2 linked regions of the Canis lupus familiaris genome follow. The protein of the gene in region 1 purifies or fractionates together with the protein of each later gene. This does not show direct contact. Links are inferred from orthologs where the notes say so. Each region holds a gene or a part of one and is shown in the gene's direction. Other genes may lie near its edges.

Region 1 (6,737 bases):
TTGACCGCCCTTTCCCCCAGGATGGGTGGACGCAGTGTGGGAAGCGGACTTCACGGAGGCCGAGCCCTTGGATCCTCGCGTGGAAGCAGAGATCTTAGAGACTGGGTTGAGCGCGTTCACTAAACTACATGAGGGCATTGTGCCCTTCGCTACGGAAGAGCACGGCCCTGCAGAGGTGAGCCCCGGCCGGGAAGGTGGCCATCCACAGGTGTCAGCGGGGGCCGGGAGGCAGCGCTGGCCTGAGCGCAGCCACCTGTGCGCACAGTTCCTGACGACCGGGGCAGGAAGAGCATAGCATGTGGCCCGTGTGCTATCAAACCCTGGCGGCTGCTGGTTAAGTGGGGAATTACAGGTTCAGTTTTAGGCTTTTGCACATGAGCTCCTGTTAGGGCATCGTCGCGGAGAAGTCCCTGGCAGTGTGCATTGGAAGACCCGGAGGGAAGTGCAAGTTCAGCAGCCTGGCTGGGCGAGCCCTCTGATCCCGGGTGCAGCGACGCGGAAGTGGGGGGTGAGGAAGAGACCAGGACGGGCCGGGTCGGGTAGAGACAGGACTGCCGGTGGCCTGCAGACAAGCACCAGAGTGAGGAGCGCTGATCCGAAGACAGGGAGGAGCCAGGCACCAGTGCTGCGAGGTCATGGGCAGGCGGAGTCCTGACACGGGCGCTTGGGCCACAGGTCGTTGGATCGTCCCTGGTGACCTACGAGGTCACAGTTCCTCATGAGGTGGGTAGAGCTGAGGTAGCACTAGGAGTGAGGAGGTGGGCAGTCTGCAGTGCTGCAGCCACGGGGCGCGTCTGGGCCGGTGCTGTGTGAGCCATCCCTCAGGGAAGCCTGACCGCAAGCAGATGCCCACCTCCCGCCAGACTAAGGTTTCCGGGGCACAGGGAGCACGAGATGGTGGTCCCGCGGCAGCAGATGAACGCCATGCAGCTGGTACTCCAGCAGCGACACTCTGTGCCCACCACCTCATCCGGCTGCTCAATGCAAGCGGGACAGCCTCCCCAACTCCCCGGCCTGCAAGCCTGAGCAGCGCCACTGGGACTGCCGCGAGCACCTTGACTGCATGATGCACGTGAAGGAGTTTGAGTGGAACGGCAACTGCTCCAGTGGAAGAAGCGGCAGAGCAGAGGGAGGCGACAGATGTGGCCAGAGGCCAGGGAGCTGGGGAGGTGGCCCCCGGGATAGTCCTGTAGTGGACCCGCCCCCACCCTGTGGACCAGTTGATCAATAATAGCCTCCAGGCCCATCAGCCAGAAAAAAGAAAAAGAGTGAGGAGATAACTGCTATAAAGGTAGGAGGGGGTCTTCTAGAAGTTTCACCGTGGAAGAGCGCACCGTGGAAGAATGCGCTTCTGTAAAGTGGCACATGCTAAGCAGAGTGGCCAAGCCAAGGCATTACCTGCTACTTTCCCCATCTTCAGGGAAGCAGGAAGTACAAGATCTGATTTCTTGAACTTTCATGGGCCTATGTTTTTTAAAGATACTCCAGGATAAACCATATGTAGTTGCTGCTGTGTTTGGTTTGTAGAAATAACCCATTTCCTCTTCATGTGTTTAATTGGCAAAACATGGAACGATGATATAATTATTAAAATTGTGGTTTATAGTTTAGGGTGTATTTCCTTTCTCACTTAGGCCTCTCCTGAAATCTGAGGGCTAAACTTTCAGGTATTTCCTTTCCTGCTCTCATTGCCCATAAAGCATTTAAATTTAAGTAAATGGCTCTGATTTCTTTAGTTAGTAACTAGTGATAAATGGTTTTGTGTACATTTAACAGATAGAGGAGTAACTTGTCTGAGTAAACACTAATATAGGGTGTCCCAAAGGTCTTAGTATAGTTTTTAGCTATGATAATTTCAGAAATACATATGCTTCAAACTTATCCACAAATTATTTTTGAAAATTTAATTATTTAAATTTATTACATACTTATTTATCTTTGTAATTTTGAATACTGCATTTTGATTTTTCGTTTCGATCCCTTTGAAGATTTATAGTTGGGAATCAAGTTGGTCTGTTGTGTATATATATATATATTTTTTTTTTTTTTTTTTTTTAAGGTACTAAATACTTGGAAAAATCAAGAGATTTTCCCATTCTCTAATTCTTGGCTTTTATGTTTCTTCCTCCACCCAGAGCATTTGGTCCTTCTTCATTGAGAACCGTGTTTCTCACAGGGCACTGGTGGCATTGTTCTATCACTTTGTTCAAGCCGTTCATACGAGAAGCGTCAGTGTGCAGTGTCGACAGTATGGCCTTCATGCTGCTGGGCTTTATTTTCTGTTGCTGGAAGTACCAGGTATGTGTATTCGATACGGTAGGATAAAATATGTTTTTGTTTTAAATTTTTACATTGTTTGAACCCTTATATTTTGTTTTCTCACTTCTAAAATGGAGCAGTGGTAACCCATCTCGCGGAATTTTTCTGAGTATTAAATGAGAGTAAGTCTGTAAAATACATGGCACGTTACAGGTGTTCGAGAAATATCTTTCCCTTGTTTCTTTAAATGCGTTTGTTTTCTAACGTGGTGTGTCTGTAACCTAATGCAGTTAATCTGAGAGAGGTAAGGCTCGAGGGAGATTGTTTTCAAGCTACAGAAGCTCCATTCCTACCTACCCCCACCTAGTATAAAAATCTGATACTGCCCACTCGTCTCCTGACTCCCCGTCCAGGCTGAGAAAGACTGCTGGGCAGTCCCTGTGTTACATATCTCTCTCCTATGCAGATATGGAGAAACAGTTTACCGTACTAAGAAAGAAAGCGTGAGAATCACTAGTAATGCTTGATGAAGGAAAGTGTAGGAAGGTAGTCTGTTGATGAGCACTGTTCTACTTCTTTTACTGTCAGAGCACTCAGGTGGCTGTTCCTCCTGTGAGCAATAAAGGAGTCCCTTCTACCCACCCAAACCCAAGGCAAGAGAGGATGGAACATGGAGGGGGATGCAGTGGAGAACATAGTTACTGTTTGTCATTGTTTACATAAATTCATTTCTAAGAAATTTCAAGGATTTATCCCATATGATTTGGAAATTGCTAAAAAGACATATTAAAGCCTTGAACATTATTTTGTATTATTGTTTTTTTTTTTTTTTTAAGATTTTAATCATTTATTCATGAGAGACACAGAGAGAGGCAGAGACATAGGCAGAGGGAGAAGCAGGCTCCCTGTAGGGAGCCCGACGCGGGACTCCATCCTGGGTCCCCAGGATCACACCCCAGGCTGAAGGCGGCGCCAAACCACTGGGCTATTGGGGCTGCCCTATTTTGTATTATCGTTAAAGTTACCAATAATGACTGTTGAAATAAGTTCTTAAAGACTTTGGTCTTGCTAAGCAGAGTCTCAGGTCTAACCAAGCTGTCTCACAGAAAAATGATGGTTTTAGGAACTCAAAAGTTTTATTTTTCTCCTCCCTTGCTCGATGCAGTTCCTTCTGATTAAGGTTGAGATGTATGCCAAAGCCAAGAGTGAAGAGTGTTGCTCATCGTAGGCCACTTGCAGCTTTCCAGCAAGACGTGTTCCTGCCAATTACCTTCTGTTTTTAAATGTATCTGGATTATGTTTGGGATACTGTTGATACTTAATTTTTAATCACACTGTGCTCTTTTTCAAGATTGTTTGGTTATTCTAGTCCCTTGTATTTCCATGTAAATTGTAGAAGTTGCATGTCAGTGTCTACCCCAAAAAAGGCTTCTGGGATTTTGACAGTGCACTGAATCTGTAGATCAATTTGGGGAGTGTTGCTGTCTAAACAACATTAGGTCTTCCAATCCATGAGCACAACGTGCCTTTCCATTTATTTCGGTTTTCTCTAATTTGTTTGAATGATACTTTTAAATGTATAATTCTTGTGCTTATTTGGTTAGATTTATTCAGAAGTATTTTATTTTTTCCATGCTATTGTAGATGAAATTACTTTCTCAATTTCATTTTCAGATTGCTTACCTGTAATGTCTAGAAGTACAATTCATTATTAAGTGTAGTTGATGTACAATGTCACATTAATTTCGGGCGTACAATATAGTGGTGGGAGAAGTTTATGGACAAGTCTGTACCTTATGCTGTGCTCAGTACAAGTGAGGTTATCATCTGTCACCATACAGTGTTGTTACAGTACCATCGAGTATATTCCCCGTGCTATGCCTTGGATCCCCATGACTTAGTCTGTAACTGGAGGCCTTCCACTTCCCTGCATCCATTTTGCCCATCTTCAACCCCTCAAGCAACTACCAGTTTGTTCTCTGTATTTATTGGTTTGTTTCAGCTTTGTTTTGTTTTATAATTTTCACATATATGTGAAATCATATGGTATTTGTCTTTCTCTGATTTCACTTAGCACACTATCCTCTAGGTCCATCTATGTTGTTGCAAATGTCAGGATTTCATTCCTTTGCAGCTGAGTAACACTTTATTTTATGTATATCCCCTATCTTTATTCATTCATCTGTCAATGGACAGTTGGGTTGGGCTGCTTCCATATCTGGACTGTTGTAAATAATGCTGCAGTAAACATAGGAGTACATATATATTTTTGAACTAGTAGTGTTCTTCTTCGGTAAGATACCCAGTAGTGGAATTACTGGATCTTATGGTATTTGTTTTTAATTTTTTTGAGGAACTTCCATGCTATTTTCTTTCCACAGTGGCTGTACCAATATTCCCACCAATAGCGCATGAAAGTTCCTCTTTTCCCACATCTTTGCCAACATTTGTCATTTCTTGTCTTTTTGATTTTAGCCATTGTGACAGGTATGAGGTAATAGCTCATTGTGGTTTTGATTTGCATTTCCCTGATGACTAGTAATTTGAGCATCTTTTCAAGGGCTTGTTGACCATTTGTCTTTTTTTGAAAACTGTTCTATTCAGATCCTCTCCCCTTTCCTTAATTAGAGAAGTACAATTGATTTTTTTATTACTGATCTTATACCCTGAAACTTTGCTGAACTCATCTATTGTTACTGGTAGGATTTTCTATGTGTAAGGTTATATCATCTGTGAGTAAACATAATTTTATTTCGTCCTTTCCAGTTTAGGTGCCTTTTATTTCTTTTTCTTGAGTAATTGCCCTGATGAGGACCTCCAGTATAGTGCTGAGCAGAAGTCAGGAGGTGGGCTTCTTGTCTTATTCCTGACCTCAGGAGGAAAACTTTCAGTCTTTTGCCCTTAAGTATGTTATATGCCGTGGGTGTTTTGAGGTTCACCTTTATGATACTGTTATTTCTAATTTGTTGAGTATTTTATTATGAAAGGACTGTGTGTTGCCAGATTCTGTTAGCTAATATTTTATTGAAGATTTTTGCATCTGTATTTACAAGGGATATCTTTTTTGATAAGCTTTTGTCTGATTTGAGTTTCAGGATAATACCAGTCTCATGTAGAATGAGTTGAGTAGTTTTCTTGCCTTTTTTGTATCTTAGAAGTTGGTGAAGAAGGGGTCGTTTTTCTGCCTTAAATTTTTGTAGATTTCAATAACAAAAGCCATCTGGATCTGCAGGTTTTCTTTGAAAGTTTTGTTTGTATAATCTATAGTGATATGTCCCCTTTCATGTCTGATTGGTAATTTGTATCTTTTGTTGTTGTTTTCATCATCTAGAAAAAGTTCCATTAAATTGTATTGACCATTTCAAAGAACCCGCTTGTGATGTTATTGATTATACTGTGTTCTTGTGGCACCTGGGTGGCTCAGTCGGTTAAGCATCCCACTCTTGGTTTCAGCTCAGGCCATGATCTCAGGGTCATGGGATTGAGTCCCACATCAGGCTCTGAGCTTAGCCCTCCACTTGTGTTTGAGCACTTGCTCGCTTGCTTGCTCTCTTTCATAAATAAAATCCTTTAAAAAGAGATGACTTCATGATAGCCTAGCCTATACACTAATAAATGAATCTTTATGGAGTTTTTATGGCATACAGTATTAACAGTCACATTCATAGTGCAGTATTGAAAACATTGTTACGTGATTGTTTCCCTTCAAATAGTGTTTTAATTATGTTTTGATAGGCAGTTAACTGTTAGATTAACTTTTTCCTTTTGAGGCTTGTTTTAAAGCTTTCTTGGAGCAGATATGAAATAGCCTTTACTCTGGAGCTAGTTTAGCTCAGGTGTTTAAGGTTTCAGCATCGGCTGTCCAGAACTCAAATATTTCTCAACCCTGTGTGGGTTATGAAAATTATTCATCTTCTAGCTCCTTGGAGGTTGTTTTTTGCCTACCCTCATGGAGTTTTACCTCTTCGTGCTTATCTTCTGCCCTATGGAGATCTCTGAAGCTTTTTTTCTGTGTAGCTTCCTCTTTTCTAGCCCTTGCCTTTTTGACTCTGATTTCTGTGTTCTCAGCTTAGACCGTCATAATGTACTTAGGGCCACCATTTTCTGCTGTTGTCCAGAAATTGCCTCAAAACATGAAACTGGGACAATTTTAGTGTTTACCTCATTTATTTTTGTTCTTCAGAGATTGTTTTTCTATGCTGCCTATTGCACTGTTTTTTTTTTTTTTTTAAGGTTTTATTTATTCATGAGAGACACAGAGAGAGGCAGAGACACAGGCAGAGGGAGAAGCAGGCTACCTGCGGGGAACACAATGCAGGACTCGATCCTGGGACTCCAGGATCATGCCCTGAGCAGAAGACAGACACTCAACCAATGAGCTGTCCAGGCATCCCTTGCTCCGTGTCTTAAGAGGATTATTTTATACATTTTTGTCCAGTTTTATAGTTTATGGTGGCATGAAAAATATAAAGCCAGTT
Region 2 (6,837 bases), on another chromosome or scaffold:
ACTAAATCTAAAGCCATAGGTCACTTAATTGATTTATTGAAATTACATTTCTTTCTCATCTGTCATTAAGACCTACTGTTACTAATAGTAATCATCAAAGGCAGTAAAACTAGGAATTATCAGTTTTTCTTTCTATCCCTTCATCACTAGCTTAGGGATTCACCAACAAAGAATAGTATCTGGCTGACTTTAGGTATTCAGACTCTTAACCATTAAAATCTATAAGAGCTATAGATTTTCCCCCCAAAATGTGCCTGGATTTTTTCCATTCTACTGTGTAGGCATTTCTCCTTCCACATGGAGGATTGTTCAGTAATAATCTAATACAGCCATGTCTGATCTAAGTCTTTTTCCTCTTTAACACATCCCACTTAACTACTGTTATTTTTTTTCTTTTTTACCAAGTCATTCCTTATATCAAAATTTTTCTTTCTTTTTTCTTTTTTTTAAATTTTATTTATTTATGATAGTCACACAGAGAGAGAGAGAGAGGCAGAGACACAAGCAGAGGGAGAAGCAGGCTCCATGCACCGGGAGCCTGACGTGGGATTCGATCCCTGGTCTCCAGGATCGCGCCCTGGGCCAAAGGCAGGCGCCAAACCGCTGCGCCACCCAGGGATCCCCAAAATTTTTCTAATAAGTGGTTCCTTCGTATCATATTTAACATCTTCAGTCAGTCTGGCTTTCAAGAACCTTGATAAGCTGACCTTCTAACTCGCCATCCCATTATTCATCCTTAATACATACCCTAATAAAATCAGTGTCGTAAACACAGTAACATCAAATGCTTAGCATGTGTGGTAGACGATTACAGACAATTCTATAGGGCAGACAGTATATACTAATTTTATAACAAATATTTTCAGAGAGATTGATAAATTGGGTAAGTTGTCCAAGCATGCAGCTAAAAAAATGATGGGATTTGGGATTTTGTTAACTGGTAACATCTTTTAATTACATTGTCTCCATGACCCTTCTGTCCCACTCAATTTGGCCTAGTCTTTGCTTTTTTTCATGGTTGATACCTCTCCATCCCCAGTTTTGTAGTGTTTTACAAACTTTGAAAATCCAAAGGTTTCCATAAGCTTTGAAAGAGAATCATTACGTTTTCTTAATATGCATACCAGCCAAAAAATTTTTTTCATAGACTTTGTCTGTAGTTTATCTTAGGAAAACAATAGCTATTTTTTTTCAGCTTTGAAAGAAAAGGCATATTATTGGGTGATAGGCATTAAGGAGGCACTTGATGTAACACTGTTACATGCAAATGATGAATCACTAAATTGGACTAAATTCTACCCCTGAAACTAATAATTCAATAGGTTAACTAACTTGAATTTAAATAAAAATAAATAAATGTGGGTTATACACCCGAGTCAATGTTCTGGCAAACCACATCAGTCTCTGAACTTCACCAAATTCTTAAAAGAGTTGTCAGGGAGTGTCTCCTCCACATCCCTCTTGAGAATCACTGAACTTTTCTTTTTACTCCCGGCGCAAGATTCGTACTACTTACTTAGAATGGTAACATAAATTCATTTATAAAGCAGATTTCTCCGTGCTTTAGTATGCCAGGCACTAAGTATGCAAAAGTCAAAGGGAGGGCAGGGCTCCCAGTTCTCAATGACAATTTCCTAAGTGTCGCTGAATACATACTTATTGGGGGCGGTGGTTAACATAATAGGTGATTAGGACCACGTTTGAGAATCAAAGTTCTGAGGAAACTAACTCCCCAGGAAAATGCACAAACACACAGAATTCTGTTTACCGTTTCAGCTGGCGGCGGTGGGGGGTGGGAGGGGGGAGCATTATGAATTCCACTGAATCTCAATCGCCCCACCAATAGGACCACGGACTCCACGTTAAAAATCGACCCACAAAACTAAGTTCTCTGGAAACAGGAATACCTGCTTAGTAATTCACAGTACAACGTATTCAAAAGTTACCGAAGGAATATTTTCCGATCGATAATTTTCTCGTGGAGATAACCAGATGACATCAACCAATCATTTTCTTCCATTACGGAATCTCAATCAAATCATCCTAAAAGCCCGAAATTCCCCTTTCGCTAGTGACACGAATGACCTGACACCAACAAATTCCAAAGTATTTTGCTATTGACGTATAGACTATGCAATCATTCACCGATCCGGGTGTTTCTGTTCTTCGTCTTGTCCTTCTACTCCTTCCAAACTCAGGGCTTCCTGCTTCGCATCCCAAAAGCTTCGTCCAGCGCCCCGCTCGCTGCCTGCAGGGGGACGCGGCAGATGCTCGGTGCCGCATACGCTATCACACTAGGTAAGGTGGGATCCGTCGATGGCCACAATTTCCAAACCCTTTCCTCACCACGTCCGGAGGCGACGAGATTTACCTTAAAGTTCCAGGAAAGCAGAGGCGATTGCTCCCGGAGCTAGGACCAGTTACCAAGAAGCCTCCCGACCTCCCTGTCACCATAGTGACTCCTACGAGCTGCGCACACTCCCTCTTCTCGCGATACTTCCCCCTCCGCGGGTCACCCGAGCCCGCCCTCTCCTGAAGGGACGTTAGTAGACGACGGAGCCCTCCTCCAGCTGTGGGTGGAGCCCTCCTGGGTTGGGTTTTTTTTTTTTTTTTTCCTCTCGTTCAAAACTCTCTCTAGATTGGGATTTCTTTTCTTTTTTTTTTTTTTTTTTTGGTATTTTTTAAGAGTACTGTTGCCGTAGGCCTAAAACAAAACAGCGCTTCGCTCCGCCTCTTCACTTACTACAGACGAGCCCGGCCGCCGGGGTCCCGCCAGGGTCCCGCCAGGAGTTCGCGCATGCGTGCAAGCGACCAGAAGATGGCGGTGGCAAGCGCCGCATTTTTTTCAAATTAGTGGTTCCCAGAAAGCATTGCGCGCATTTGTAACGAATTTCCGTTCGAGTTTGTATTTTAGGCGCCATTTTCGAGTGAAGGACCCGGAGCCGAAACACCGGTAGGAGCGGGGGGTGCTATACAACGGTCTCCGGTTTTGGTGCGAGTGGCCTGCGCCGCAGGTAAAGTACTTCTTTTCCTGACCAGGTTGTCACACTCTCCCTTCCTGCCCGGTCCGCGGGCGCCGGGAAAGTAGAGGCCTTGAGCTGGAGCCGCCGAAGTCCGCTCTGGGCTGAGGCAGCCGCCGGGAGGTTTCTTTCGCTGTCACCCCTCCCCCCTCGGCCGCCTCCCGGCGGTCGGGGCTCCCGCGCGCTCCTCGCGGGCGCCACTTCTCTGAGCTACTTAAGCGCCTCGGGGCGGGGGGGGGGCGCGGGGGACGCGGACTCTTAAGCCTCGCAGAGCTCTTCTCGGAAATCCCGGTCTCTGTCGGGGAAAGGGCGTCTCCCCTGCCCCGGCCCCCTGACCTCCTCTCTTCCCCCAAGGGACTGCTCACCGAGTCCGAGCCCTTCGTGATGACCTTTCGTAGCGGATTGTCCAGCGAGGCTCCACGGGGGGGTCGGAGGGGACAGACCCCCGCCACCCCCAAGATGATTGGCCCGGACCAGGCGCTGCTAGGTCTGGTCTTGGAAATCGGGAGTGGCCGACCCCCGTCTCCGGGTCCGACGGCAGCGAGCGAGACCTGGAAGCCCCCGGGGCCGTCAGCGGCGCCCGGAGCCAAATGGCGGGGAAAGTGGGTGGCGAGTCGCCCGTTAGTCGTCGCTCCTCAGGAGGAGTTGAGAGTCCCTCAGACCTGAAGCGGATACAAAAGTCTTCTCGGCCAAAGTCTCTTCTGCGCTTGCTTCGCTAACCCCAGCAGCGTGGGAATACCAGCAAATGCCGCCGCGCAGGAATTATTTCGTTAGGAAATTAGAGGATTGTTAGACCCTTCTGCCGTGGGAGGACGGGGGTGGGGAGGCATTAAGAAAATGGAACGTAAGCCGTTCTGCCCTTTGCCTGGTGGCCACGCACGTCTAGGTTTGCCCAGTTGCTTCGGGCTTAAGAAAACGCATCTCGCCTTTTTTGGCACTTGGGGTTGTGTGTGTGTGTGTGTGTGCGCGCGCCTTTCTTTACCGAGCACCCGCCGGCGTCCGGCGGCGTTATCTAAAAGGGGTTCTCGGAAACGGGTGGACGGAGTTTTTCCCCGAGTGGGATGGGGTGGGGGCTGAGCTCATCCGACGCGGTGGCCGGCGGGGAATGTACCCGCGCAGCCCTGCGGCCCGGCGGACTGACTCGCCCCTGCTCTCCCCCGGCCCCAGCGACCATGCCCCGAAAGGGCACCCAACCTTCCACCGCCCGGCGCGGGAGGGAAGAGCCGCCGCAGTCCCCGGACGGCCCCAGCAGCGACGCGGAGCCCGAACCCCCGCCTGGCCGCGCGGGCAGCCCGGCCCCTGCTTCCACAGGTAAGTACCTCGCCGCTCCTCCGCTGGAGAACGCGCGGGGCGGCCAGCGTGGGTCCGCGCCCAAGCCGGGACTGGCGGGTGTTTGGGGGCGCGGAGCTGAGGGGCTGCGGAGTTGGCGACTGTAGGTCGCATGTCGGTTCCGTAGTGCTCGACAAAGCGATTTGGCGATTTTCGGAGGTCGGAGTCTTCGTGCAATTTCGGTGTTACGGTGTTGGAGGGGATTGGGGCAAGTGCGTGGCTACATTTACGATTTTATTTGTGGCCTTGTATTTCCTCGGAGATCGGCGTGATCAGCCAATAGCTAGTGGACTGTTTTCTAGGCAGAATTAACATGATTGTATCTTAAAAGTGACATGGCCCTAATTTAACCTCTCTGGTCTAAATTGCGTTTAAAAAGATAACGATAATTTATTTGAAACTACGGTAGCTTTTTTGTGAGTACTGGAATTGGGTGACATTAGGAAGCCCCGTGGCAGAGTCGCTGGAAGCTCTTGAGTGTCCAAAGTTAAGGTTCCAGGTGCTCAGAGATTGGGAGAAAGTTAGATCTAGAGCCTTAGGATTTAACCACCTGTTTAGGCGAGGAACAGAGAATCAGGTTGTTGTGGTTTTCCCAGATTTGCTTTATGGTGTAGTATTTTGACTCCTAAGAGATAGATTTTTGTAGGATTTTGTGACTGGTGGTCATTTCTTTAAGAATTTCTATTTTTATAAAATCAAGCTGAAAGATTTTCATTTCTTCTTAGTAAAATACATTTAAGTGGAAAATACAGATTCCTAGGTTTCATAAGTAACATTTTTCCAAAGATTAGCAGGCAGTAGTCCTCCGAACTAATTGCACTAATGCAGGCTTTCTTTTTCCTCTTGCTTTCCCTTCCCTTTGACTGACTTAGAGACACCAAGTGAGGAAATTGATAATAGAAGTTTAGAAGAGATTTTGAATAGCATCCCTCCTCCCCCGCCTCCAGCCATGGCCAATGAAGCTGGAGCTCCTCGGCTTATGATAACTCATATTGTAAACCAGAACTTCAAATCCTATGCTGGGGAAAAAATTTTGGGACCTTTTCATAAGGTATTTGATCATTTTAAATAACTATTATAGAGTAATGTGTTTTTATTACAAGGTATTTCAGTTTTATCCTGTTTATCCTCACTGATAATACATGGTATGTTTCCTGTGTTTTTAACAACTGAAATTAGTTTTTGTTTATCCTGGTTATCGTTGGTACCTCTTTAGCTGTTAAGTTTTCCACACAGAGTAGAATTGGTGAGGGGTTATTTTTGTTTGTTTGGAGGAAGTATTTTTTCTATTAGAATGAATTTTGTAAAAGTGATTTAGACTATAGTCTTAAAATGTTGAAGCTTGTTATAAAGGAGAATATAATGTAGGAAAACAAGTTGAAATGAAAATTTTAAATAGTTTTGCTGCAAGTAAAAAAGGCAAGCGGTTTAAATTAAAATCAGTTATATAGTATGACCTTTTTAACTTCACTTTAATTTTTTTTTCCTGTTCTTTTTATGCAGCGCTTTTCCTGTATTATTGGGCCAAATGGCAGTGGCAAATCCAATGTTATTGATTCTATGCTTTTTGTGTTTGGCTATCGAGCACAAAAAATAAGATCTAAAAAACTTTCGGTACTAATACACAATTCTGATGAACACAAGGATATTCAGAGTTGTACTGTAGAAGTTCATTTTCAGAAGATAATTGATAAGGTAAGGGATTTGCGAGTATTTCGTTATTTGCAACTTCCAAGTATGGAACATAATTTCCATACATTGCACAATTATAATTTTTCGCTTAAATTGGTTTTTAAAAATCAGTGTATGTTCAAAGCAGAATAGATAATGATTTTATTACCCCCCAGATACTCATTTCATTACCTCCAAAACCGTATTTTTTTTTTTTTTTGAGTAGTGGGGGTGGCAGCTGTTAAAATATTAAAATTTTTAGCCAGTGGAATGAATTATAAGTAGCTCATCATAGTGCCTACCTTTTTAGAATAAAACATTGAGCAGTTTTGGTATCCTAAGTGCCAACTAGGTATTCTTTAACTGTAATTTTGGGTTCGTTTTTAAAGTTCTGTTTTTATTGCTTTCAGATAAATTACCTAAATTTGAAAATATAACAGATGACTAATTTTATTATCCCCGTTATTTTAATTCATATTAATGTTATTAGTTTGGAATATGAAAGAGCTCTGCTTCAGTTTAAACCAACCTTTGTAAATGAATAAACTACCCTTTAAAATTGGGGAAGGTTAAGTTAATATGTTTATTTTCTAGAAAAGGAAACAATTTTAGGTAAAACGTCTAGATTATTTAAATGGTTCTATTGTATTTTTTTTTCTCTCGTCTTTTGAATAGCTAACTTTGGGGATTCATGGCTTAAAAATCACTGATTGGAACCTAAGAATATAGAAAACTGCATAATGAAGCAAGGATGTGACTTGGCTTCCAAGTTTTGTTTTTTAGATTTTTTTTAATATGAAGTGCTTTAATTAAATCT

What was found. The genes of interacting proteins can lie anywhere in the genome.
Region 2: the proteins of NCAPD3 (region 1) and SMC4 purify together in Homo sapiens (co-immunoprecipitation; 3 studies listed by BioGRID and IntAct, with this or other methods). This does not show direct contact. The link is inferred for Canis lupus familiaris from reciprocal best matches to the Homo sapiens genes NCAPD3 and SMC4.

Annotation. Positions count from the first base shown.
Region 1 is NC_049226.1:1,050,167-1,056,903, forward strand, and holds part of NCAPD3 (condensin-2 complex subunit D3), read left to right. Parts: intron 1-20; coding exon 21-175; intron 176-2,135; coding exon 2,136-2,298; intron 2,299-6,737.
Region 2 is NC_049255.1:26,639,857-26,646,693, forward strand, and holds the start of SMC4 (structural maintenance of chromosomes protein 4), read left to right. Parts: upstream 1-2,855; 5' UTR 2,856-3,014; intron 3,015-4,187; 5' UTR 4,188-4,192; coding exon 4,193-4,331; intron 4,332-5,221; coding exon 5,222-5,400; intron 5,401-5,852; coding exon 5,853-6,044; intron 6,045-6,837. UniProt on the Homo sapiens protein: Central component of the condensin complex, a complex required for conversion of interphase chromatin into mitotic-like condense chromosomes.